Elephas maximus indicus: one gene and its partners. The protein of the gene in region 2 interacts with the protein of the main gene of each other region in a biochemical or structural test. Links are inferred from orthologs where the notes say so. Each region holds a gene or a part of one and is shown on either strand. Other genes may lie near its edges.

Region 1 (8,016 bases), on a different chromosome or scaffold from region 2:
AGGTGTGTAAAACCCACTTTGTGACTGACATGGAAATGTCTAGAATCTAGAGACACCTTGTCCCCTTGGCATTTCCAAAGTGCAACAGTCCCACCACCTAGTTTATTTGACGTAGTTTGAGAGCCTTAGTAATCCCAAAGGCTTGGCTCTGTAATCACATTTGGTTAACTTGAAACTGATTAGTCATTCAAAATCATTTACCTTGAAGATTGCTTCCCAAATTACCAGTTTATTTAGACTTCACTAATAATTATTTCATGAGAGCTTTTCCACAACTGCTCATTTACATGTGAACCTTTCACATACGAGTGGGAACCGAGGATGATTTTTTTTAAGAGTTAAAGTTTAACTGGATTGGCACTTTTTCTTTACTCTGCTGGATTGCCCCTTTTCTGGGAAGCAGCACCCTGAAGGAATTGGATATTGTCCCTTTAGAAGAGTCCATGGTCTGCTGTATTTATAATCCTCACATTTCATGATTCAGCCACACGTCTCCCAGCCTTGATCCACACGCTCCAGCTTACGTTTGGTTTAGGTTTGATTTTGGTTTGCTTAAGAGGAGCAAGACTTATTACCAGTCAGAAGTCCTCAGGCCCCAATACTACAGTGCAAAAGAAAAAAAAAAAAAAAAGTTTACCAGAGTGAACCATAGTCTGGTTCCTCAGCAGTCTTCCCAAACTAGTTACCCCAGATATACGATATTGCTGCTTGTATCTGGAAATCACCACGTTCTCTAAGTGCTTCCATTTGTTAAGTAGTCCATTTATTAGCTCATGTAATTCCTGAAAAAACCTTGCATAGCGTGGCAGGAGGAAAAAGAACAATGACCTTTCATGCATTTATATAATGCATATGTATTGAGTGCCCAACATATGCCAGGCACTGGGATATGCCAGGCACTGAGAGCTGAGAATGGACTGCTGCCTAAGACACACATGACCCTGTCCTCTTGGAGCTTACACATTGTTGAGTCACTGAGTCCCTACCATGAGGCAGCCACCCTAGTAAAATGTCTTGATGCCTTCTTTCACTTACTATTCATAACAAACTGGGAGAAAGGCCTTATTAACCTTATAGTGGGGATGGAATAAATGAAACTCCCACAGGTTCAGTGACCTGAGTAAAGTCACCCGGCTGAGAAGGGGCGGGGCGGGGGGGGGAGCGGGGAAGAGGGTGTCCAAGCTCAAAGTGGGACTTTCTCAGTCCAAGGCCTGCTGACTGCATTCTGGATTCTTTCCAAACGGTGTGATCTCATGTCAACCCATATCATGTCAAGTTCTCTTTTCCAGTTTCCCACATCCCATAATTTGGCTTAGAAAGGTATCTGATGCAACGACACAACAGGTATCTAGCATATGATGAATAACTTTAAGGGTTTTAATCTTTTGAGAGGCTTAAAGAAGAGCAGGGGAGAGTCTGTGTGACCAGTGGTGGGGGTGGAGGTACTTGGAGTGGAAAGAGGATGAGAGAGGAGCTCAGAGAGGTGATCCAGGAATTCCCAAAGGCTGGCACTGACTCAGTAAGTCACCAGGTCAGTTATTTGAAATGAGTCATTTGTGGCATTGGGGCAAAAGCTTCAGTCCCTCACTAAATTATCGGGAAGCAGGCCAGCTAAATATTCCCCCCTGGGAGAATAATCCTAATTATAATCCCTAAAATTTACATGCCTCTTTAGAATTTGCAAAGCACTTTCGCAAAGGTTTTTTTTTTTTTAATTGTGGTCCATTGCACTTGCCCCTGGAACCCACCAGGGCTGGTTTCTCAGGTGGGTAGAGCTTTAAGCTCTACCTGGGAGCCAGTTTGTCTCAAGCAATGGGACCAACTCTTTTCTGCTATTGGCAAACACTTTTCAAAGCGCTTGCTCTTCAGGTAGGGGCTCAGAGGCACTGTCTTCATTTCAGATAGGTGACACCTTGAGTCATGGAATGCCAGCTACCAAGTAGATAGGGAGTTGTCCCAGCAGACAATGATTCTGAGCCCAAACTCTCTCTGAAAATGCAACTAGATCAGTCTGTAGTCATACAGGCTCTCCCTACCTTCAAAACTTGCATTGGCTCCCTCTTTCCTACATGGTCAAGTTCAAACTCTCTGGCATAGCTTACAACCTGGCCTCTCCTACCTCTTTAGCCTCCTGTCTTGCTGTCTCCCTCCCAAATTCTTCATCTGATCTAATGCTCTAGTCATTCAAAACTGCTCTCCACTCCCTAAACAAGCCATGTTCTTTCACCTTTCCATGCTCATACATAATTTTACTGTTAATAATTATAGCAAGCACACACACACACATATATATATAAAACAGTTGCCATGGATTTGATTCTGACTCATGGCGACTCCTTGTGTGTCAGAGTAGAAGTGTGGTCCACAGGATTTTCAATGACGAATTTTTCAGAAGTAGATTGCCAGATCTTTCTTCCAAGGCATCTCTGGGTGAACTCAAACCTCCAGCACTTTGGTTAGCAGTTAAGCATTAATTTCTTTTGCCACCCAGGGACTTAAACCCTTATATTGTTGAATGATTATTATATACAGCACTTTTGACTCATTCATAATCTTCCTAACAATCTTATTTCATAGATACTATTATTAATCCCCAGATGGAGTAGGGATTAAGAGCTATGGCTGCTAAACAACAGGTCAGCAGTTTGAATCCACCAGGTGCTCCTCAGAAACTCTATGAGGCAGTTCTACTCTGTCCTGTAGGGTTGCTGTGAGTCGGAATTGACTCCACGGCAGAAGATTTGGTTTTGCGTGTTTTTTTTTTTTTATTAACTCTATTTTTTACAGAAGGAAATTGAAGCACAGAAAGGCTAATTGACTTGTCCAAGGTCACACAACTCAAAAGCATCCAGGCTAGGGTTTGAACCAAGGCATTCTGGGTTCTGAATCCTTACTGTTAATCACTACAGAATATTGTCTGTGAATGTCTTGCCCCTGTAGGTTCCTATGAAGAATTCTTACCTCTTCTATACCTGGTTCAAATATCACTTCCACCATGAAGCCTCTCTGGTGTTCCCCAGGAGAGATTGGGGCTCCCTTCTCAGGGATTGATACCAGTCTGCACACAGGTATTTTGCAGCCCATATCATATTATGTGGTAATAGCTTACTTGTGAGTCTGATTCCCTACATGAGCATGAGATCCCTGACAGGGCCAGGTCTTATTTATCTTGATATCCTTGGGTACTCAGTACATGCTTGATGAGTGAATGGATGAGTTAATGGCTGGGTGCATTTTCTCTCAACTTCTCAAGTTATTTGAATAAATAACAAAATCTGATCTTCTGTCAGAAATTCTGGCATGGCTCCTTCAGCATCATGCCCCAGCCACTGAATGCCACTATCATATTTTGTGTATCTCACCAGGCAAGGCACCCATTCAACTTTACTTTCAGCAGTTCACATTCAAAACAAATACTGCTTTTGATTTCCAAATGTTATATCGTGGTATATTATAAACAGTTAATACTCTTGGCTGCTAACTGAAAGTTTAGAAGTTCTAGTTCACCCAGAGGCACCTTGGAAGACAGGCCTGGTGATCTACTTCTGAAAACCTTATGGAGCACAGTTTTACTCTGACACACATGGGGTTGCCATGAATCGGAATTGACTCCATGGCAACTGTTATATAAATGAACTATGATGTGAAATATAAGTTTTCAGACTCAAAATGTCTCTCCTGAAGAATATGACAATCCCCTCCTCTCTTTGATATTTACTGGGTAGGTTAGATGGGGGAAAGTAGATTAATGTTTGCATAGAATGGGAGCAAGAAAAGCATAATGTTTGTATGAATGGGAGCAAAAAAGAAGGGATGAGTGGATGGGTGGATGGGAAGATAAATAAAAATGGATATGTGAATGATAGAAGGACAATGGAGGAAGAGATATGTGGATATATGGATGAAGAAGAGGGTGGTGGATGGATCAGAGCGAGTTTATGCAGAGACATGAAAAAGAATAGATAAAAGGATGGATGAGAAGATGTCTGGTAGGGTGGGTGGAAGAATATGTGATTGGATAGATGGATAGATGAAAAGTTGTGTGACTGGATAAATGATTGGAAGAAAGATGGCTGAATAAATGTGTGAATAGTTGAAAGAATGTGGAAATGATGAATGGATGTGGGGGTGGATAAATGGATGGGTGAGAGCATGGAGGGATGTGTGAGTGGGTGGACAGTAAGATGGAGGGATGGATAAGTGCTGGCAGGTTGTAATGAAAGGTAGGTGGATAGATGAATGGGTGGATGGAGGGATGTTTGGGAGGATGAATGAGTGTGCGGGTGAGTGGATGGATGGGTGGATGGATGGATTGGACGGTGAACACATGGGTTTAAATAAAACACATGGGTTAGTGGAGGCAAATAGCCCATGAATGGCCATCTCTAGCTTTCCCTGGGCAGCTGGTTTCCGGCAGTTCTGGCAAGAACCAAAAATCCACCTGAGCGCTGTGGACTTTGTTTCTCCTTGAGGGGAAGAGGGACGTGCTCTCCCTCCTCCCCCAGAGAGAATCGCAAGCCCCTCCCATCTCTCTTCCCGGGCAGGGAAACCCAGTACCCAGTGCCCTCGGCAGGGAAGCACCATCCAGTGCAGGACCTCACCTCTGCCCTCCCTCCTCTCCCAGGATATCCAGCTGCCTGTGAAACCCAGAAAGAGCCATTCCCCAGCTGAATTCAAATGAAGCTTTGTGGACAGCAAGAGAGGCCGGAGGCTGGACCTAACGGTCTAGGTTTCAGGACTCAGTCATCCTACTTGCTTAGGCAGCCAATCCAGCTGGCTGGGAGAAGAAAGGGTGACCCGGGGGCAAGCGGGCTGGCGGGCGCTGGGAGGGCCTGGACCCCCAGGGCCGAAGGAGCCCTGGTTGACAGTCTCTGTAAAGAACGCCGCGGGGGCAAGGGGGTAGCTCAGAGGAGGGCTGGTATGACTTTAAACCTTTGCCGGCTGCTTAGTCACAGCCCCCTTGGGTGTGTCCTTCTCTCGCTCCCTCCCTCTTAGGTCATTCTTTCAACCCTCGAATAAAAACTGCAGCCAATTTGCGAGGCGGCCTCATTGCCCAGCCAGACCCCAGCCTCTGACAGGTTCCGGCCGCCCTCCTTGCCCTGTCCTGCGCCGGCCCCCGCCCTTCGCCCCGGGACCCTCCAGCTCTGCTCACTCGCTCTCCCCTTTGCCCGGATACCATGGACAAGCTTTGGTGGCGCGCAGCCTGGGGACTCTGCCTCGTGCAGCTAAGCCTAGCGCAGCACATCGGTGAGTGCCCGTTGAGTGGGACTGCGGGAAGGGGTGCCAGGAGTGCCCGGGACGCACAGCAGCCCCACTGGCAGAGTTGGCCCTGGGAACCTGAGTCAAGTGGGCGGCGAGCGACTTGGGTTTGGTTAAGATAAACTGGGCTGAAATTTGCGCTAAACTATTGGTTGGCGAATTTGTTGGTGGGAAGCATAGTTTTGTTGGAGGGAAAAGGGAAAGAAAGAAGAAAGTTGGCCGGGCAGGCTGCCGGCGCGCAGTTTTGGGTGAGGTCTCTAGAGCGCGGAGCACATGGCAGAAAGTAACTGTAGTCTTGGACGCGCAGCCGGTGTCTGGACTAACAGGCTTCTGTGCCCAAGGGCGCTGGAAGCCCAGACCTGGCTGGGGCAGAGCAGGGACTGGGGTAGCGGCAGGGGCAGGGGCTGGGGCAGGGGCAGGGGCAGGGATGGGGCTGGGGCAAGGGCTGGGGCAGGGGTAGGGGTAGGGGCAGGGCTAGGGGCTGGGGTAGGGGCTGAGGCAGGGGCTGAGGCAGGGTCTGGGGCAGGGGCTGGGGCAGGGGCTGGGGCAGGGCAGGGGCTGGAGTAGGCCGGGGCAGAGATTGAGGCAAAGGCAGGACAAGGGCTGGGTGGGGCAGGGGCTGAGGCAGGGGCAGGGACTGGGTTAGAGGCAAGTTGGGGGCAGAGACTGAGGCAAAGACAGTTTAGGGGCTGGGTCAGAAGCAGGGGCTGTTGGCAAGGTGGTCCCAGTCACGCCTGTGAGAGCTGCTGGCAATGAGCTTTCCAGAAAAGGGTCCTGGGTCTCTATCACTCATGACTGTGCCTGGGCTCCAAAGCTCTTACAGTCAGCTCCAGTCAGTGCATGTCTAGTGCTTGTGGGAACTTGAACTAGCTTCGCAAAGAGGTTCTGGATAGTGGTGCCAGCCTGGGGCAGGGAGTGTGAGTAGGAGAGACATAGACTGAAAGCCTGGAGCTATTCAATCCTTGCAGCCTCCTGTTACTGGCAGACAGTTTGGGGAAATCCAAACAGAAATATGGCTCGCATTCCCAGGCCAGGGATATGAGCCTCAGTGGGCCAGAGGGGAGCCTGGACCTCAGGATGACATCTGTGACCCTGGAGCTGGGGCTGCCAATGTCCCGTCCAAACAGGGGCTGTGCCTTTCAGGGGTGTGGAGGGGAGGTGCTGCGCATGTGAGGTAGCCCAGCCCAGCTGAACTCGAAGCAAGCGTTCCCTTTCTTTGTCTGTGTATGTACAGATAATTATATGGCTGATTTGCTTATCGCTAGCAAAATTAATTTTTCTTTTAAGAAGTGCCAGCTGGGTCATTGAGACAGCTCAGCCTATGGCTAATTCTACTCAGCAAGCATTTATTAAACCCAGTTCTAGGAGTACCAAGAAGGTAAAAGACATAGTCTCGCCTGGGTACTTTAGACTGAAGATAGGTGGGGAGTCAGGATTCAGTTTCCTGAAACAGAAATATGTAATGGTAGCAGAGGTAACAGCAGGCCTCACAATGACCCGATGAGAAGTTTTTAATGCTTGGAGGAAACCGAGGCTCAGAAAGGTTAAGTGACTCGTGGGCATTCACACAGCCACAAGTAGTGGTCTGGATTTGAACTCAGGTCCATTGAGTTCCAAAGGCTGTGCTTAGCTGGAATATGTTAGGTTGTGTGAGAAGGACAACTTGGAAAGGATTTGGGGGAAGGAGAGGTTGTATTGGACTAGAAGCCTTACAGCAGGTTTCAGAAGGGAACTAGAGCACCACTCAGCCCTTGAGAGGGAGGAATGTTCAAGATGGGAAAGAAGAGGGGAGACTGCGGGGAGGGTCCTGGGCCTGGCTGCAAAGACGACCACCCTGGTGGTCTCCCCATGGCCTCCAGGGAAGCTTGTTTACAGGTTAACTACCAGTGAAGTCTTGGGCTTTGTCTCTGAAGATTCTGACTCTTTCACCCTGTCTCTATGATATTTCTAAAGGGCCTACTTCCAAATATTTGGAACCAGCCTGACCCTAGAGGTTCTCCCAGGGATCAGCAGGCTCCTCCTGTCCTGGGTTTCCGTGGTCTCTTTGGGCAGCGTCATTTGGAAGCACAATGACGTGCTAGTAGCAATAACTGCCTCTGCCCTGACTGTCACGTGCTTGTGAAGTTGTTTGGAAGGAACTGAGACTTGGCAAGGAGACATGCTTTAAGCCAGGGCTTGGGGCTAGGCAGGTAGAGGGGAAAAGAGAAAGAGGAGGGAGGAAGGAAAGGTGCTGTTGTTGCCCCATCATGGGGAATAGTGAGCTATAGAAGACAATGAGGAAATGTTGGAAAGGGCAAGGCTGGCTTTAAGGGGGAATAAAGGGTCCAATCTCCTTATTGGAAAGTAAAATGTGGAGAAGTGGCCAACTGTTGTTAAGCAACATTGGACGCAGAAACTCTGACAGTTGGAGAGCAGGTGTCTTGAACCAGGTGTCCTATTCGGGGGGAGGAAAGTTGCCCTGGGAAGAGGGCAGGGGTTGAGCTGTCCTGGAGTTAGACATAGGCCCTCCCTGCGCATGTCTCCTTCCCTCTGTGAGCATGAGGCCATTGCTGGAAATTGCGCCCCTTGGTGTTGAGAAAGAGGGGTGCAGCTGAGAGTCCTGGGCAGTGAGGCTAGTATGAATCTTTTGCTCCCATTGACCCTTAAAGACTCCTTGTCTTGCTGGACATTAGAACTTTGAATGTATTTTCCCAGGTGAAGAAGCAAGGAGGCACATTTCCATCACTGCTGAGGTTAGCGTTAAGTAATTCGGTTTTT
Region 2 (7,390 bases):
ATCTGCTCCAAAAGATCTCTTTCAGGTGTTAAAAAGCAAAGATGTCACCTTGAGGTGGTACTAAGGTGCGCCTGACCCAAGTCAGGGTATTTTCAGTTGTCTCATATGCTTGGGAAACCTGGACAATGAATAAGGAAGACTGAAGAATTGATGCCTTTGAATTATGGTGTTGGAGAAGAATATTGAATATACCATGAACTGCCAGAAGAATGAACAAATCTGTCTTGGAAGAACTACAACTAGAACGCTCTTTAGAAGCGAGGATGGTAAAACTTTGTCTCACGTACTTTGGACATGTTATCAGGAGGAACCAGTCCCTGGAGAAGGATATCATGCTTGAAACAGGGTCAGTAAAAAAGATGAACACCCTCAATGAAATGCACTGACACATGCCCACAACGATGGGCTCAAACATAGTAATGATTGTGAAGATGGTGCAGGACCAGGCAATGTTTCATTCTGTTGTACGTACGGTTGCTATGAGTCAGAACTGACTCTATGGCATGTAACAACAGCATCTGGGTGAGCAAGTGACTTTATCATGCTAAAAGTCTCATCTTCTTCATCTGCAGAGTGGGGGTAATGCTGATGATGGTTAACACTTATGTGTGATTAAATCTTCTCTACTGGACAATTAAAGAGCCCTGGTCAGAATCGACTTGATGGCAATGGGCTTGGTTTGGTTTTGGTGGCACTGTGGTTAAGAGCTCAGCTGCTAACGAAAAGGTTGGCAGTTCAAATCCACCAGCTGCTCCTCGAAATCCTATGTGGCAGTTGTACTCTGCTCCATAGGGTCACTATGAGTCAGAATTGACTCTATAGCAACAGGTTTTTTTTGTTTTGTTTTGTGGCACAACAGTTGGGTGCTTGGCTGCTAACCCAAAGGTCGATGGTTCAAACCTACACAGCGACTCCACAGGAGAAAGACCTGGCTATGAAAACCCTATGGGGCAACTGAGTCCAGCACAACTAGATGGTGCCTGGCCACCACCACTGACTGCTCTGACAAGGATCAAAATAGAGGGTCCTGGACAGAGCTGGAGAAAAATGTAGAACAGAATTCTAAATTTACAAACAAACAAACAAATCAGACTTACTAGTCTGACAGAGACTGGAGAACTCAGACAGTATGGCCCCTGGACTCCTTTTTACCTCAGTAGTGATGGCACTTCTGAGATTCATCCTCCAGCCAAAGATTAGACAGGTCCATAAAACAAAACGAGACTAAATAGGCACACTCGCCCAAAATAATATGTGTATTAATTGTTTAATGAGAAACCAATTTGCTCTGTAAACCCTCATCTAAAATACATTAAAAAAAGAAAGAAAAAAACTCCTATGGGGCAGATCTACCCTGTCACATGGGGCCACTGTGAGTTGGAATCAACTCTCCGGCACATAACTACAACAACAACAATTCAACAATTAAAATAATTTAAAAATAAAATCAATTTTGACGATTAGAAATTATCTTAAAATTTATTGTTATATGTAGGAAACCCTGGTGGCGTAGTGGTTAAGAGCTATGGCTGCTAACCAAAGGGTTGGCAGTTTGAATCCACCAGGCGCTCCTTGGAAACTCTATCGGGGTCAGTTCTACTGATAAGGTCGCTATGAGTCTGAAACGACTCAGTGGCACTGGGTTTGGTTTTGGTTTGGTATATTTACAACAACAGCAACAAAAAAAATTATTATTTTTTTAAATACCAAAGCCAAACCAAACCCAGTGCTGTGGAGTCGATTCTTACTCATAGCAGCCCTATAGGACTGAGTAGAACTGCCCCATAGGGTTTCCAAGGAGTGGCTGGTGGATTTAAACTGCTGACTTTTTGGTTGGCAGCTGAGCTCTTAACCACAGCACCACCAGGGCCCCCTTTATTTATTTATTTTGTTGTGCTTTAGGTGAAAATTTACAGCTCAAGTTAATTTCTCATTCAAAAATTTATACATTTTTTTTTTTGTGACATTGGTTGCAATCCCCACAATGTGACAGCATGTGCTTCCTTTCCTCCCCAGGTTCCCTGTGTCCATTCATCCAGTTCCTGTCCCTTCCTGCCTTCTCGTCCTGCTTTTGAACAGGAGCTGCCCATTTGGTCTCCTATACTTAATTGAATTAAGAAACCCAGTTCCTCATGTGTGTTATTCTTGTGTATGTGTAATCTTTGTCTGAAAAGTGGGCTTCAGGAATGGTTTCAGCTCTGGGTTAACAGAGCTTCCGGGGGCCATAGTTTCAGGGGTTCCTCCAGTCTCCGTCAGACCAGTAAGTTTGGTCTTTTTATGTGAATTTGAATACTGTTTTACATTTTTCTCCTGCTTTGTTTGGTACTCCTTGTTGTGATCCCTGTCAGGGTGGACGTTGGGGGTAGCTGGGCACCATCTAGTTCTTCAGGTCTTAGGTTGGTTGAGTCTCTGGTTTACACGGTCCTTTAGTCCTTAAGGATAATATTTTCCTGTGTCCTTGGTTTTCTTCCTTCTCCTTTCCTCTGGGTTAGACAGGACGAAAAGATGTATCATAGATGAGGGCCCTTTTCAAAAAATAAAAAAAAAAAAAAACCAAACCAAACCTGTTGCCTTCAAGTCGATCCCAACAAATAGCAACCCTATATTTTTAAACACAGGTATAATTCAACCCCACACACACATCCATTATAAATGTAAGGAAAAATACAAATTGAAAATAACAGGTTTCAGTTCTTTTAATGGCAGAATCTTCCTTTGACTTTCTGAAAAGTATATAAGTCAAGGATGTTTCCTCAGTGGTCTCAGAGCCATTTGATTTGAAACGTAATCATCAAGAAACCTTAGACCTTAAACCAAAAACATCCCCCGAAGACATCTTAAAACAATAGTTTATCTTAACTAGTATAAAACGTCTGCCTTGAGCATTATGCTCTTTTAAGAGGTATCTATATGGGATCAAGTTGACAACAGCAACTTGAAAAATTAGACAGGAGCCTTAGGGGGCAGTGGGTTTATGTTAATGAGAGAGGGACAACTCAGAAAAGGAGGGTGAGAATGGTTGCACAACTAAAAAGTAATTAATGTCACTAAATTGCACATGTAGAAACTGTTAAATTGGTGTTTTGTTGTGTACATTCACACACACACACACACACAAAATTTCCCATCCCTACCACCCACTTTCCTGGAAGATGAGCATAACTTTAGGTCTCCTGACATAGATACTGGAAAGTTAGCAATTTTGTCTTAAACTTGGTTGTACTGAGTTCTATCCCCTCAGCTATGTAAAAGATAGGAGCTTTGGTGGCCACAGTGGTCAAGAAGTCGGCTGCTAATCAAAAGTTTCGCAGTTGGAATCCACCAGCCACTCCTTGGAAATCCTATGGGGAAGTTCTACTCTGTCCTGTAGGCTCGCTACAGTCGGAATCGACTGGACAGCAACGGATTTTTGTTTTGTTTTATATAAAGGATAAGGTTTCTTTCTGTTCTTGCAATCTCTGTAGTGGATTCCCTGTGATGCATCACATTCTGGTTTAATGCTTATTCAATAATCAAACTTTTCTTTCTGTCGTTTTTGTGGAGAAGTTTTCTGGGTTGAGAGTAGATTCGTTTCAATTCCCTCCCCCCAGCATAATCCTTGATGATATTAAAACATAAATAGGAAGCATATATGGTTAAAAAATGAAAATCATAAAGTACAAAATGAAAAATGAAAATTTTCGAGCTTTTTTGATCTACCAAAGCAACAATTTCATTGGATCCAACCTAGTATGTGCCGGCCACCGTTTTAAAGCTTTATGTGTATTAACTCGCTTAAACTCCTGAACAACCCCATGAGGTAGGTGCAATTATAATCTCTCTTTGACAGTAATTAGTATCACTTCTAATGCGAGGCTGAGGAATCCGGCGGGACAATGTCAGCAACCAAACAGGCCTCCACAAGTGTTTTAAAAGTCGTGAAACACAGAGGTCATTGAATGTAGTTAATTGAGAGCCAAAAAGGAACATCCGCCTGGCGTCTAAAATACACCTTCTGAGGCGCCATACGCAGGGCGTGCTCTGTCAAAAATGCAGTTCCTAGCTGGACTAGGAAGGAACCCAACTCGTGCGCTCAGGAACACGCCCGGACGTGGATTCCCGGGAGAGGCGCGCCAGGCTGCGCCGCCTCAACCAGTCTTGCTAGAGTAGGCGTACACTCACGAACAAAAGCATTCGGAGTGACTGCTGCTACAGCTATTCAACGCCAAGCCCAAGCTCCCGCCTACAGCTAGAGCGGAACTTTCAATTGGTGGAGCTAATCAGAAGCAGGCGGGACGGAACAGAAAATCCCCGCCTCCCTTGGAGTTGTCAGCCAACCCCGGCTTCTGGGAGGCAGCCGCCGGGTTGCGTTGCGCCGTGTGTAGTCGTCTGAGGGGCCTGGAGGCGGGGCGGGAGTCGGTCGGGCGCAGCAGGGAGGGGACGCTTGCCGGGGGCGCGCGGAGCGGGAAGGGTGAGAGGCACGCGCGCGTGTGCGCGCCCAGCTGTAGCGCGTCTCCGCGACCCCCGTGGGCCGCTGTCGTCTTAGCCGCCCTCTTCCCCGGCGTCCCCAGCCCGACTCCCTCCAGTGCCGGGCCGCGTCCGCCCCGTCGGTCCCGGCTCGCGTACCCTCCCCGTGGCCAGCAGGGCCCGCCCCCGACGCCCCTTTTCGCTTCTGGGCAGGGTCCTTGCGGCCCATGCGGGCCGTAGGGGCCCCGCGCCGCCCAACCCGCTCCCGGACCGGCCGGCCGGCCACCATGGTGGCCTTGAGGCCTGTGCGGCTCCTCCAGGGGGGTTAACCGGTCCAGAGCGCAGGCCGCGGGGGCACAGAGGTCCCGGGCCCGAACCCCGCACCATGGCCGGGGCCATCGCTTCCCGCATGAGCTTCAGCTCTCTCAAGAGGAAGCAGCCCAAGACGTTCACCGTGCGGATTGTCACCATGGACGCCGAGATGGAGTTCAATTGCGAGGTAACCGCCGGCAACCTCGACGGGCCGCGGCGAGGGGCAGCCCGACCGAATCCCTGTTTACCCGGCCCTGTCCCGGATCCGGCACTGACCTGGGCGCCCCCGCCGTGGGGTCAGTCGAAGTGGAAGCTTGAGGGATTCTCCTTATATCATCATCTGGGTATAGATAAGAGACGGGTGGAAATGGAAGGGGTCGTCTAGGCCCAAATCCTCATGTTGAAGATAATTGCTACTTTTCTTCATAGGGCTTTTGGGTTTGGAAGCACTTCCTGAAGATTTTCATTCATTGTTACTGGAAGGGGTTGCGGGCGTCCATGGTAGAGAATTCTCGTTTTCAGTGTCAGGCTTAAGTTCTGGCTGGGTGGTGGCGTAGTGGTTAAGAGCTACGTCTGATAAGGAAAAGATCGGCAGTTCGAAATCACCAAGTGTTCCTTGGAAACTCTATGGGGCGGTTCTACTCTGCCCTATAGAGTTGCTATGAGTCTGAATAGACTTGATGGCAATGTTTGTTTGTTTTTTGGGGGTGAGTTTTTAACTTTATTAGGTAATATTGTTATGCACCCCGGGTATTAAAAGCAGCGTCTTGTATATTGAAAGTTTATACTTGTTTCCTGTTTCTGAAGCTTAAATTTTTCTGGAAAAGACTTTAAGAAAAGACATGCTGTCTTATACCTTGATGATAGCTGTCATTTGTTGAATACTTAATAAGTGCCAGACAGTCCTACATTTAATCCTTACAACAGCCCAGTGAGGTAGATACCATTATTATCATTCCCTTTCTCAAAAACTTTATATCTAGTAGATGGCAAAGTGAGGTTTTGAACCAAGCTCTTAACCCATTCAGTACTCCTTCTCAAGTAATTTAAATTCTTGCTACTCAAAAGTGTGGTCCGTGGACCAGCAGTATCAGCAGCAGTGACCTAAGTTAGGGGTTGGCAATCTTTTTCTGTAAAGGGTCAGACAGTAAATATTATTGGCTTTGCAGGCCATGGAGAGTCTTATTGCCACTACTCAGTTCTTCAACCCTACTGTTATAATGCAGAATCAGCCTTACACAGGGTCCCTAATGGCGTGACAGCATGAGGAGTTCTACTTACCTGCTCCTACTGAAACTGGTGAAAATTATAAAAACAACAGTTACCACCATTGAAAACTTCTTGAAATGGTCCTAAGGGGAAACAGGAAATGAGGAAACATCTACTCAAGAAAATCCATGAAAATTGGTAAAAAAAAAAAAAAAGAAAGTCTGTGATATTTAAATCAAGACCTCTCCCTCCCTCAGCCCTTCAGCTCAGGGAGGTGGAAGCTCCAATCCACACTGCTGCAATCAAGAACACAGGGCTCGCTCTCCCCTCAGCTTCCAGCCAGGGGACTTTCTTCCCAGGAAGAGCAGGACTTGCATGTTTATCATCTTGCACCAAGTTACCTGTTACCTGTGGGCTGGGGCAGACAAAAGGTGGGGGCTCTCTTCTTCTCCCCAGCCCTACTCATGGATGGAGGCTCTACCTTGGATATGGTGAACTGAGAACACTGGGGTGCCAACTCTCCTCGTGCCTTGGCTTGCGAAGCTATGGTTCCACACCAGGAGAGACAAACCAAGAAGACCCCAAGCTACTGCCCCCCCTCCCCAAGTGCTCAGCTCCTAGATCAGGGGTGCCACTCAGAGAGAAGCTTGCCTTGTTCCTACCCACACAGCTCCAGAGCTTGGCTCAGAGATTTTGCCAGGAGGAAGAAACAGGCCATGGAACAGATACCTCCTAATATCTTCCCAAAGAAACAGACTTCATTTGCAAAAGCTCTTGGAGAAGTTCATGGCTAAAGGTGCTCTTATGAACAGTTGGAGCTCAGGGCCATGATAAATGGACCCTGATAGCATGGGAGAAAAAATGTGAAATAGAACCTCAAATTCCTAAAAAAAAAGCCAGACCTACTGGACTGGTTGACACCAGAGGACTCCCTAAGACTGTTGCCCTGATATACTCTTCAAACCTTGAACCAAAACTAACCCCTGAGGTCACCTTGTAGCTAGATAACAAATTGGCTCAAAAGATAATATCACCCTTAAGTACTGTGATTTTTTAAAAATCACCTATTTGAGACCAAATGGTAAGCAATTACTTTAAAACAAAGATAAGAATGTAGGAGGGCAGGGAAACTAGATTAGTGGAAACAGGACAACCAGAACAGACATAATGAGAATGTTCATGCATTGTGAAAAATGTAACCAATGTTGCTGAACAACTTGTGTAGAAATTGTTGAATGGGAACCTAAACTGCTGTCCAAACCTTCACGGAAAACACCATACAATATTGTTAAAAAAAAAAAAAAAAAGGGAGGCGAAGCCAAGATAGCAGAGTAGTCAGACGCTTCTGGTGATCCCGCTTACAACAAAGACCCAAAAAAACAAGTAAAACGATTATATATATGACATGCTAGGAGCCCTGAAC
Region 3 (7,888 bases), on a different chromosome or scaffold from region 2:
AACAAAGATAAGAATGTAAGGGGGCAGGAAAACTAAATAAACAGAAAGGGAACAACCAGAAGGAAAAGAGAATGTTCACACATTGTCAAGAACATAAGCAATGTTACTGAACAACTTGTGCAAAAACTGTTGAATGGGAACCTAAATTGCTGTGTAAACCTTCACTGAAAACACATTTAAAAAAAAAAAATACAGTACATAAATAAAAATCTGGATGGGTAGAAATGTATTCATTTTACTATTCTTTAACTTTCCTGTATGTTTGAAATTTTTCTCAGTAAAAAGTTGGAAAAAACTAAGCAGCATTTTCTTTCCTGAATTGGATCAACTCTCAAACACATGTCAAGAGAGGAAAGCAAGGGGCAGAACTCTATAAACATATTTGTTGTTAGTTGCCATCGAGTCAATTCGGACTCACGGCAACCCCATGTACGCAGAGTAGAACTGCTCCGTAAGGTTTTCAAGGCTGTGACCTTTGGAAGCGCATTACCAGGCCTGCCTTCTGAGGTGCCTCTGGTTGGATTTGAACGGCCAACCTTTCAGCTAACACTGTACCTGAGTGCTTAATCACATGCGCTACCCATGGATGCTATCATTGTGAATGAGAAAGGTGGGTGTGTGTACAAGTGTATATCTACATCTACCTACCTGTCTCTCTTCCTTCTAGGATAAAAGGCCCCTGGAAGAATAAGGAAACTAATTGTATCTATTACTCTTCTGGCAGGTAACTTTCTGGGTGATAAAGGTAGGAGAGAGATTTTTTCACTTTTTACTCCAGCTCTACCTTTTTCCCACTATAACCTTCAGTAACTTTTTAATATAACCATAAAATCTGTTCTTAGTTCTAATACACAATAGCAAATGCCTATTCTGCAGAAACTATCCCAAAGCCAAAAATAAAGTCCATATTAAAGACAAAACCAAAAAAACTAAATCCACTGTCATGGAGTCACAGCAACCATATAGGACAGAGTAGAACTGCCCACGGGGTTTTCCAAGGCTATAAATCATTATGGACACAGACTGCCACATTTTCTCCCACAGAGCAGCTGATGAAGTGGTGGTGGGTTGCAACCTCCAACCTTTTGGTTGGCAACCAAGCGCTTTAACCACTGTCCACTAGGCTCCTCATGTTAAAGACAGGTCCCTTAAAACGTTACAATACTGAAACAACCATCTGTGGGGGAGGGGGGGAATCCAAGTTTAGAGCTTCAAGTAAAAATTTACGGAATAATTACTATTAAAATACGAGAACATATAACCTATTTAGTACCGTCCATGACCATCTCCTTTACAAAAACAACACAAGAAAATTGGCAATAAACCAACTCCAACCACTTCAAATTAACGAGTGGTTCATTCTACCAGATTCCTCCCCTATTTAAACAGCTATACAACAGGTAGAACAGTAAAACACTATTCAGCAACTACCCAAGAGATGTTGAGCGTAAGATGACTCCGTTAAACTCCCACCAATTCTGTGTCTATTATCTCTTTTCTTGTCGTGTGCCGTCGAGTCAGACTCACAGAGACCCTATAGAACACAGCAGAACTGGCCCATAGGGTTTCCTAGGCTGTAATCTTCACGGGAGCTGACTCTCTGCTCTTGAGGAGCCCCTGGTGGCTGGTGGGTTCGAACTTCCGACCTTCAATTTGCAGCACAGAGCTTAATTACTGTGCAACCAGGACTCCTTATTATCTCAACATCCAAAAATTTATCGCCACTCGAAAGTGGGTAATGAATACTGCTACGTACAAAGCCAAATCTTGACAACATCAAGTAGAAAAATATCAAATCAATTTCTAATTAAAGAGTCTAAATATACACGCTTCACAAACCTTAAAGGTAAACGCCTGCAAATGACAGGGTGACGGCAGTGGTTTTTACTACCAATGAACCCTTCAACCTGTACATTAAAGAAGCGTTTAGAACAGGAAGATGCTGCTACATGAATTAATAATTAAAACATGTAGGCTAATTAAAATGTTTCAATGAAAAGATAAAGTACGAAAGACTGAGACCAACACAAAGCAGACAAAGACGAGCCATTTGGGGCTCAAAAAGTACTACAAACACTCCAAACCTACTTTCTCAACAAATGGGAACCCAGAGCGCTACTACCGCAGTAAGAGGAAGCGAGACGGAGAGCGTTTAGAAAGAAAAGAGCTAAGCGAACACCTCTGACACCCTGTCGAAAACTGTAAACCCGGAAACAGGCTGCCGGAAAGTCGGCCCCACGCTGAGGGACCCGCACACCTCTCCAGGCCCCTCCCCTCCACCGCTGGAGTGAGAGGAATGCCCGGAAAGCCCCGCCCCCCGCCCCGTCCGAGAGCAGGGCGGGCGGAAGGGGAGGTGGCACGAGGCCGAGGGAGGGAGAGACCGCCCAGGTGACTGGGACTGGAGGCGGAGACACCGTCCGGGAAGGGGGCCGCCGTACGGCAGGGGAGATGGAGACCCCCGGCCCGTACGGAACGAAGGCTGGGAAGACTGAGAAAAAAGGTGATGAAGGGAATGAGCGGCGCCCCTTCTCCAGGTAGGGGCGGGCATGCCCCTGCCCCCTATTCCGGGCGGAAAAGTACTCTCGGGAAGCTTCTTTTGGGGACTAGAGGAAGACTATGGAGGCCCCGCCCCCGGGTCAAGAATCAAGAGGAGAAAAAGGGACTGTCAAGCCCTGGGCCCAGCCTCTCCGCCGGCCCGCCCCCTCCCCGCCCGCGGCCCAGGCAGGTGCCGCCCCTCCCCCAGCCCGGCGCCCACTCTCCCGCCCGCGCGTCCTGTCTCTCCGCCCCTCTCTGGGAGAGCCGTATCCCTCCCTTCCTCACTTACCTTCCCGGGCGGCTCCGCCGCTCCCGCCTGACCCCGCCAGCGGCCACAGTTCACACACGCACCGCCTCAAGTCCCGCACTCACACTCTCCCTCACTCACACACACACACACACACACACACACACACACACACAGACACACACAGCGCGACCACGGCTCCTGAGCGGCCCACATATTATACGTCACTCGCTGGCTACGTACCCCGCGCGCGCGCCGAGTTGGCGCCAGGCTCGCGGATAAGGGGCGGGAGAACGCTAACGCAACGCAAGCAGAGGAAAATCGGCGGGTCCCGAGGCCGCCTGGGAAATGTAGTTCTGCTTTTAGGGGCGCGGCCCACCCATCCTGATTGACGCACAGTGACATTGCTTTCTGGGATTTGTAGTTTTTACTGTAGGCAGGAACTGCTGTGGACTCATTGGCGTCTGGGGAAGGCGGAAGTGAAGTGAAGGACCGTCCGGCAAGGCAAGGCTGTGACAGCTTGATACTTTCGCAGTTCTCAGCACCTTATGTACGGTAAAACCAAAACTAAACCCATCGCTGTCGATCGATTCCCGCTCATAACGACCCTATAGGGCAGAGTAGAACTGCTCCATAGGGTTTCCAAGGAGCGGCTGGTGGATTCGAACTGCTGACCTTTTGGTTAGCAGCCACAGCCCTTAACCACTACGCCACCAGGGTTTCCTTGTGTACGGTTCAGTAATTACGTGGTGATGGGTCAATGGTCAACCCCAGAACTTCATGTAAATTCCAGTCACCGAAGGAGCTCAGAGACCTGGTAGAACATCCCCTTTTACAGATGGAGAAACTGAGGCTCAGGGTGCTGAACTAGGTCTCGTGAGTCATGGTCTCAGAGTTCCTTTGACTACAAAGCACAAACGACCCCCAGTATTTGGGGATGCTGGCATTCGACCAAAGGTCATTCAGTAGTATCAAAATTTGAAGGAGTCTTGGCGGCCCAGTGGTTAAGAGTGCCGCTGCTAAGCAAAAGTCGGCAGTTGGAACCCACCAGCTGCTCCCCGGCAGAACGATGTGGCAGTCTGCTTCGGTAAAGATTTACAGGCTTGGAAACCCTATGAGGCAGTTTTACTCTGTCCTGTAAGTTCGTTATGAATCAAAATCGACTCAAGAACCATGGGTTGGGTTGGATTTTATCAAAATTTGCCTATCAAAATTTAAGTCGCAGGTACCCCATGACCCCACTGTTCTGCTTCTGAAACGCCACCCTATAGAAACATGTGCTGTTTAAAATAGACAAGGTACTACTGACTGGAGGGATGTCCAAAACCTAGTGTAAGTAAACAAAGCAAGGTGGATAATTCCTCATGATTTCATATATATGTTTTATAAAAAATCCTAAACGTGTAATGTAGACTTTTGTATATAAGTGTATAGGAAAGGGATTAAGAAGGACATGTGCCAAAATGTTTAACGGTGATTATCCCTAGGGATAGTGCAGTGCAAAGACCGCTTTAGCGTGGCCTTCCTCACCATGGTCCTATAACTCCCACCCAAGTGATTGGTTGGGACTGTGCAAATAAGGTAATTGTGGCTGACCAAGGGGATTGATCGGCTTTGCCATCCCGCTAGGCTTAAAATGAGCCATCCCACAGGTGGGAAGAGAGGCTCTCACCACCACCAAGGAAGAAGAACCAGGAGCGGAGCGCGTCCTTTGGACCCAGGACCTCTGCACTGAGAAACTTGTAGAACCAGGTGACCAAGAAAGATAAAGAGCTATAACGCTGAAGATGGTAAGAAGTGGTGGCAGAGAAAAGGCAGCAGGAGACGGTGCAGTGGACTTTCCAGCCCACGGATGGAGAAAGCTGAGCACCTTCAGGCAGGAGGCTTGTTGGAAGAGTAGGGTGCCTCCAGACACTTGGTAGAGCTAGGTTTGCTGATCCACAGAGCTAGAGCTAAGCACCTACCCATGGAGGCCTCTTGGAGGAGTGGGGTGCCTCAGGGCACTTAACAGCAGAGCTAAAAGATCTTTTTAACACTTGCCCAAGCAGGAAAGAGGTGAGGGAACCAGAGAGAGGCATGCCTGGGAGCATGGCTGAGAAGAGGCTGTCTTGATGGAAGAACTATATCCTGAGCGTTCCTGGACCTGAATTGTAACCTGTTGCTTCCCTAATAAACCTCATAATCGTGAGTATCGTCTGTGCGTTCTGTATGGCCATTACAATGAATTATTGCATCCAGCAGAGAAGTAGAGAATGCTGTCAGAGGTAAAGACGGCAGAGAGAGGAAGCATGCCTGACCCTGCCTCGTAGGAAATCAGCCTTGGGCTGTTGATCATGATACTCCTTTGACCTTGTGAAGTTAGAGGAGGTGCCATGGCCGTGCCATTTTTACAGATGGGAAAAAGTGAAGGGGACTTGTGTATTTTACTACATGTACTTCTGTATTGTTTGTCCTTTTAATGCAAGAAATTTTTTATGTATCCTTTGTAATGTCTTTAAAAAAATTCCACCTGTCCTTAAAGGCTTCATTCAGTAGCTATTTTCTTCCTTTATTTTCTCCTCCAATCTGAGATGGCTGCTCACTCCCCCAACGTCTCCTGTGTTTTATATTCTACTCTGTGTGTCAGTATAGCCTCTGTCCCATTTCCCCCCATCATACCTAGAACATACCAGGATCTAAGAAAATATTTCTTGCAAGAATAAATACCAGAAATTACAGCACTCATTAAACAGAAGGCACTGTTTCGTTTGTTTGTTTGCTCTTTATCTTTCTGTTCAAGACGTCAATAAATATGTATTCCCAGGTTTATATGTGAGGCAGAGAAAAGGAAAAATCAGAAGCCGAGGACTTTTGATTGGACTGACCTCAGAGGCCATCTCATTCAATTCTTTCATTTTGCAGTTGAGAAAAATGAGGCCCAGAGAGGGTGAGTGGCTTGCCTAAACATTGCAAAACAAATTTAACAGTAGAACCAGAATGAATCCTGACTCTCAATCAAAGATCCCTCTTTGGGGATATGAAAGATAAACATAACTCCTTAGTTGAGTGGTTTCTCCACCTGACAAAATCCTGTCCAGCCTGAAGGCCCAACACAACTCATTATCTCTCTGGGAGTCCTGAGCAAGTTCCTGGTCTAACCATGCATTTCTAAATGGAGAAAAGGAGACACAGTGAGCCTGCTGCCATGCTCAGGTCCCATAACTAGCCAGGGCCTGGATGTTCAGCCTGTGATTGCATTCCCCACTGTCTTAGTTATCTAGTGCTGCTATAACAGAAATACCACAGGTGGATAGCTTGAAAAAACAGATTTATTCTCTCACAGTCTAGGAAGCTAGAAGTCAAATTGAGGGTGCCAGCTCCACGGAAAGACTTTCTCTTTCTGTCAGCCCTGGGTGAAGCTCTTGGTCATCAATCTTCCCCTAGATCTAGGAGTTTGTCAGCATGGGTCCAAAGGTTGAACTCTGCTCCCAGGTCTTCTTTCTTGGTGGTAGGAGGTCTTTCTCCTCTCTGCTGGCTTCTTATATCTCAAAAGAGACTGACTCAAGGTACAACCTAATACTATAGACTTTGTCCTGCCTCATTAACGTAATTGTCTCTAATCCTGCTTCATTAACATCATAGAGCTTAGGATTTATAATACAAAGCATAATTACATCCGACCATAAAGTTGGAGACAACCACATAATACCAGGAATCAGGGCCCAGCCAAATTGATGTGAATTTTTGGGGAACACAATTCAATCCATAACGTTCCACCCTTTGGCCCCCTAAAATTCATGTCCTTGCCACATGTGAAAGACATTCACCCCATATTATCCCAAAAATCTTCTGCAAAATTCCCCTTCATCTGTGAAATTTAGAATACAAGTTACCTGCTTCTAAAGCTCAGTGGAACAGGCACAAGGTAGACATTTCCATTACAAATGGGATAAATTGGAAGGAAGGGATAACAGGGAACAATCAAGTCCAAAACTCATCAGAACACATTACATTAGCTCTCAAGACTTGAAAATAATCCATTCCCTGGGACAATTTAGGCAATGACCCTGCCCTCCAAACTCTGGGTGTTGGCCACACTTTCTGGATTCTGGGTGGAGGCTCCTGAGCCCTGGGCTTCAACTCTGCTTTTCAGCCCCACTGGGACGGCAACTCTGCTCTCTTGGATTTTGGCGGCCCCATTCTCCTAGTCCATCCGAGTGGCGACCCTGCCCCCTCAGACCCAGCGGTCCCCATTCTTCTGTCCCTTGGGCATGGCAGCCCCATCCCCTCAGCTTTGGACAGTGGATCCACCCCATCCCCCAGCACAGAGGAGCAGCAGCCTCACTCTCCGGAACTGAACTGGTGAAGATCTGACTCTCTGAAACCTAGGAGGCTGTGGCCCCACCCTTTGAGACTGAAGCAGCTCTGCTTCCTGTCCTCCTTGTCTCTTCAGCTTCTTTCTCCTGGTTCCTTGTCCTCTCAGCACTTTGGGCCTCTTGGGCCAGCCTGTCTTCTGCCCTGCTTGGGCAAGTGCTACAGAGCTCTTTAGTTCCACCAATAAGTGCCTCAAGACACCCTACTCCACCAGTAAGCCTAAGCCCAAAGGCACTCAGCTCACCCGCTCCGTGTGTCAGAAAGCCTACCTCCTCCAACAAGTGCCCAGAGGTGCCGTACTCTGCCAGGAAATCTCTTACCCAAAAGCTCTCAGCTTTCTTGCTTCTTGGGTCAGCTCACACGCCGTCTCACACCGGTTTCCTAGTTCTGCTGTGGCTGTTTCTCTGCTACTGCTTCTCACCATCTGTGCCATCTCCAGTGTTACAGCTTTCCTCTCTTCCTTCTGAGCTCTCACCCTAGTTGTCTGACATCCATAATTTCACCAACAGTCAACCTAGGCTTTTGCTATTAGGCACTTTAAAACTCTTCCAGCCTCTACCCATTCACAGTTTCAAAACTGCTTCCACACTTCAGCCATCTGTTAGAGCAGCACCCCACTCCCAGGGCCAAATTCTGTCTAGTTACCTGGTGCTGCTATAACAGAAATACAAGTGGATAGTTTTAACAAATAGATTTGTTCTCTCACAGCTTAGGAGGCTAGAAGTCCCAATTCAGGGCATCAGCTCCAGGGAA

Evidence for each region. The genes of interacting proteins can lie anywhere in the genome.
Region 1: the proteins of NF2 (region 2) and CD44 form a complex in vitro, tested with the Homo sapiens proteins (2 studies listed by BioGRID, with this or other methods). The link is inferred for Elephas maximus indicus from reciprocal best matches to the Homo sapiens genes NF2 and CD44.
Region 3: the proteins of NF2 (region 2) and DCAF1 form a complex in vitro, tested with the Homo sapiens proteins (3 studies listed by BioGRID, with this or other methods). The link is inferred for Elephas maximus indicus from reciprocal best matches to the Homo sapiens genes NF2 and DCAF1.

What each region holds. Positions count from the first base shown.
Region 1 is NC_064825.1:90,449,548-90,457,563, forward strand, and holds the start of CD44 (CD44 antigen), read left to right. Parts: upstream 1-5,000; 5' UTR 5,001-5,177; coding exon 5,178-5,247; intron 5,248-8,016. UniProt on the Homo sapiens protein: Cell-surface receptor that plays a role in cell-cell interactions, cell adhesion and migration, helping them to sense and respond to changes in the tissue microenvironment.
Region 2 is NC_064840.1:26,936,879-26,944,268, reverse strand, and holds the start of NF2 (merlin), read left to right. Parts: upstream 1-4,378; 5' UTR 4,379-4,831; coding exon 4,832-4,945; intron 4,946-7,390. UniProt on the Homo sapiens protein: Probable regulator of the Hippo/SWH (Sav/Wts/Hpo) signaling pathway, a signaling pathway that plays a pivotal role in tumor suppression by restricting proliferation and promoting apoptosis.
Region 3 is NC_064838.1:55,676,625-55,684,512, forward strand, and holds the start of DCAF1 (DDB1- and CUL4-associated factor 1), read right to left. Parts: upstream 3,017-7,888; 5' UTR 2,825-3,016; intron 2,396-2,824; exon of another isoform or gene 2,089-2,395; intron 1-2,088. UniProt on the Homo sapiens protein: Acts both as a substrate recognition component of E3 ubiquitin-protein ligase complexes and as an atypical serine/threonine-protein kinase, playing key roles in various processes such as cell cycle, telomerase regulation and histone modification.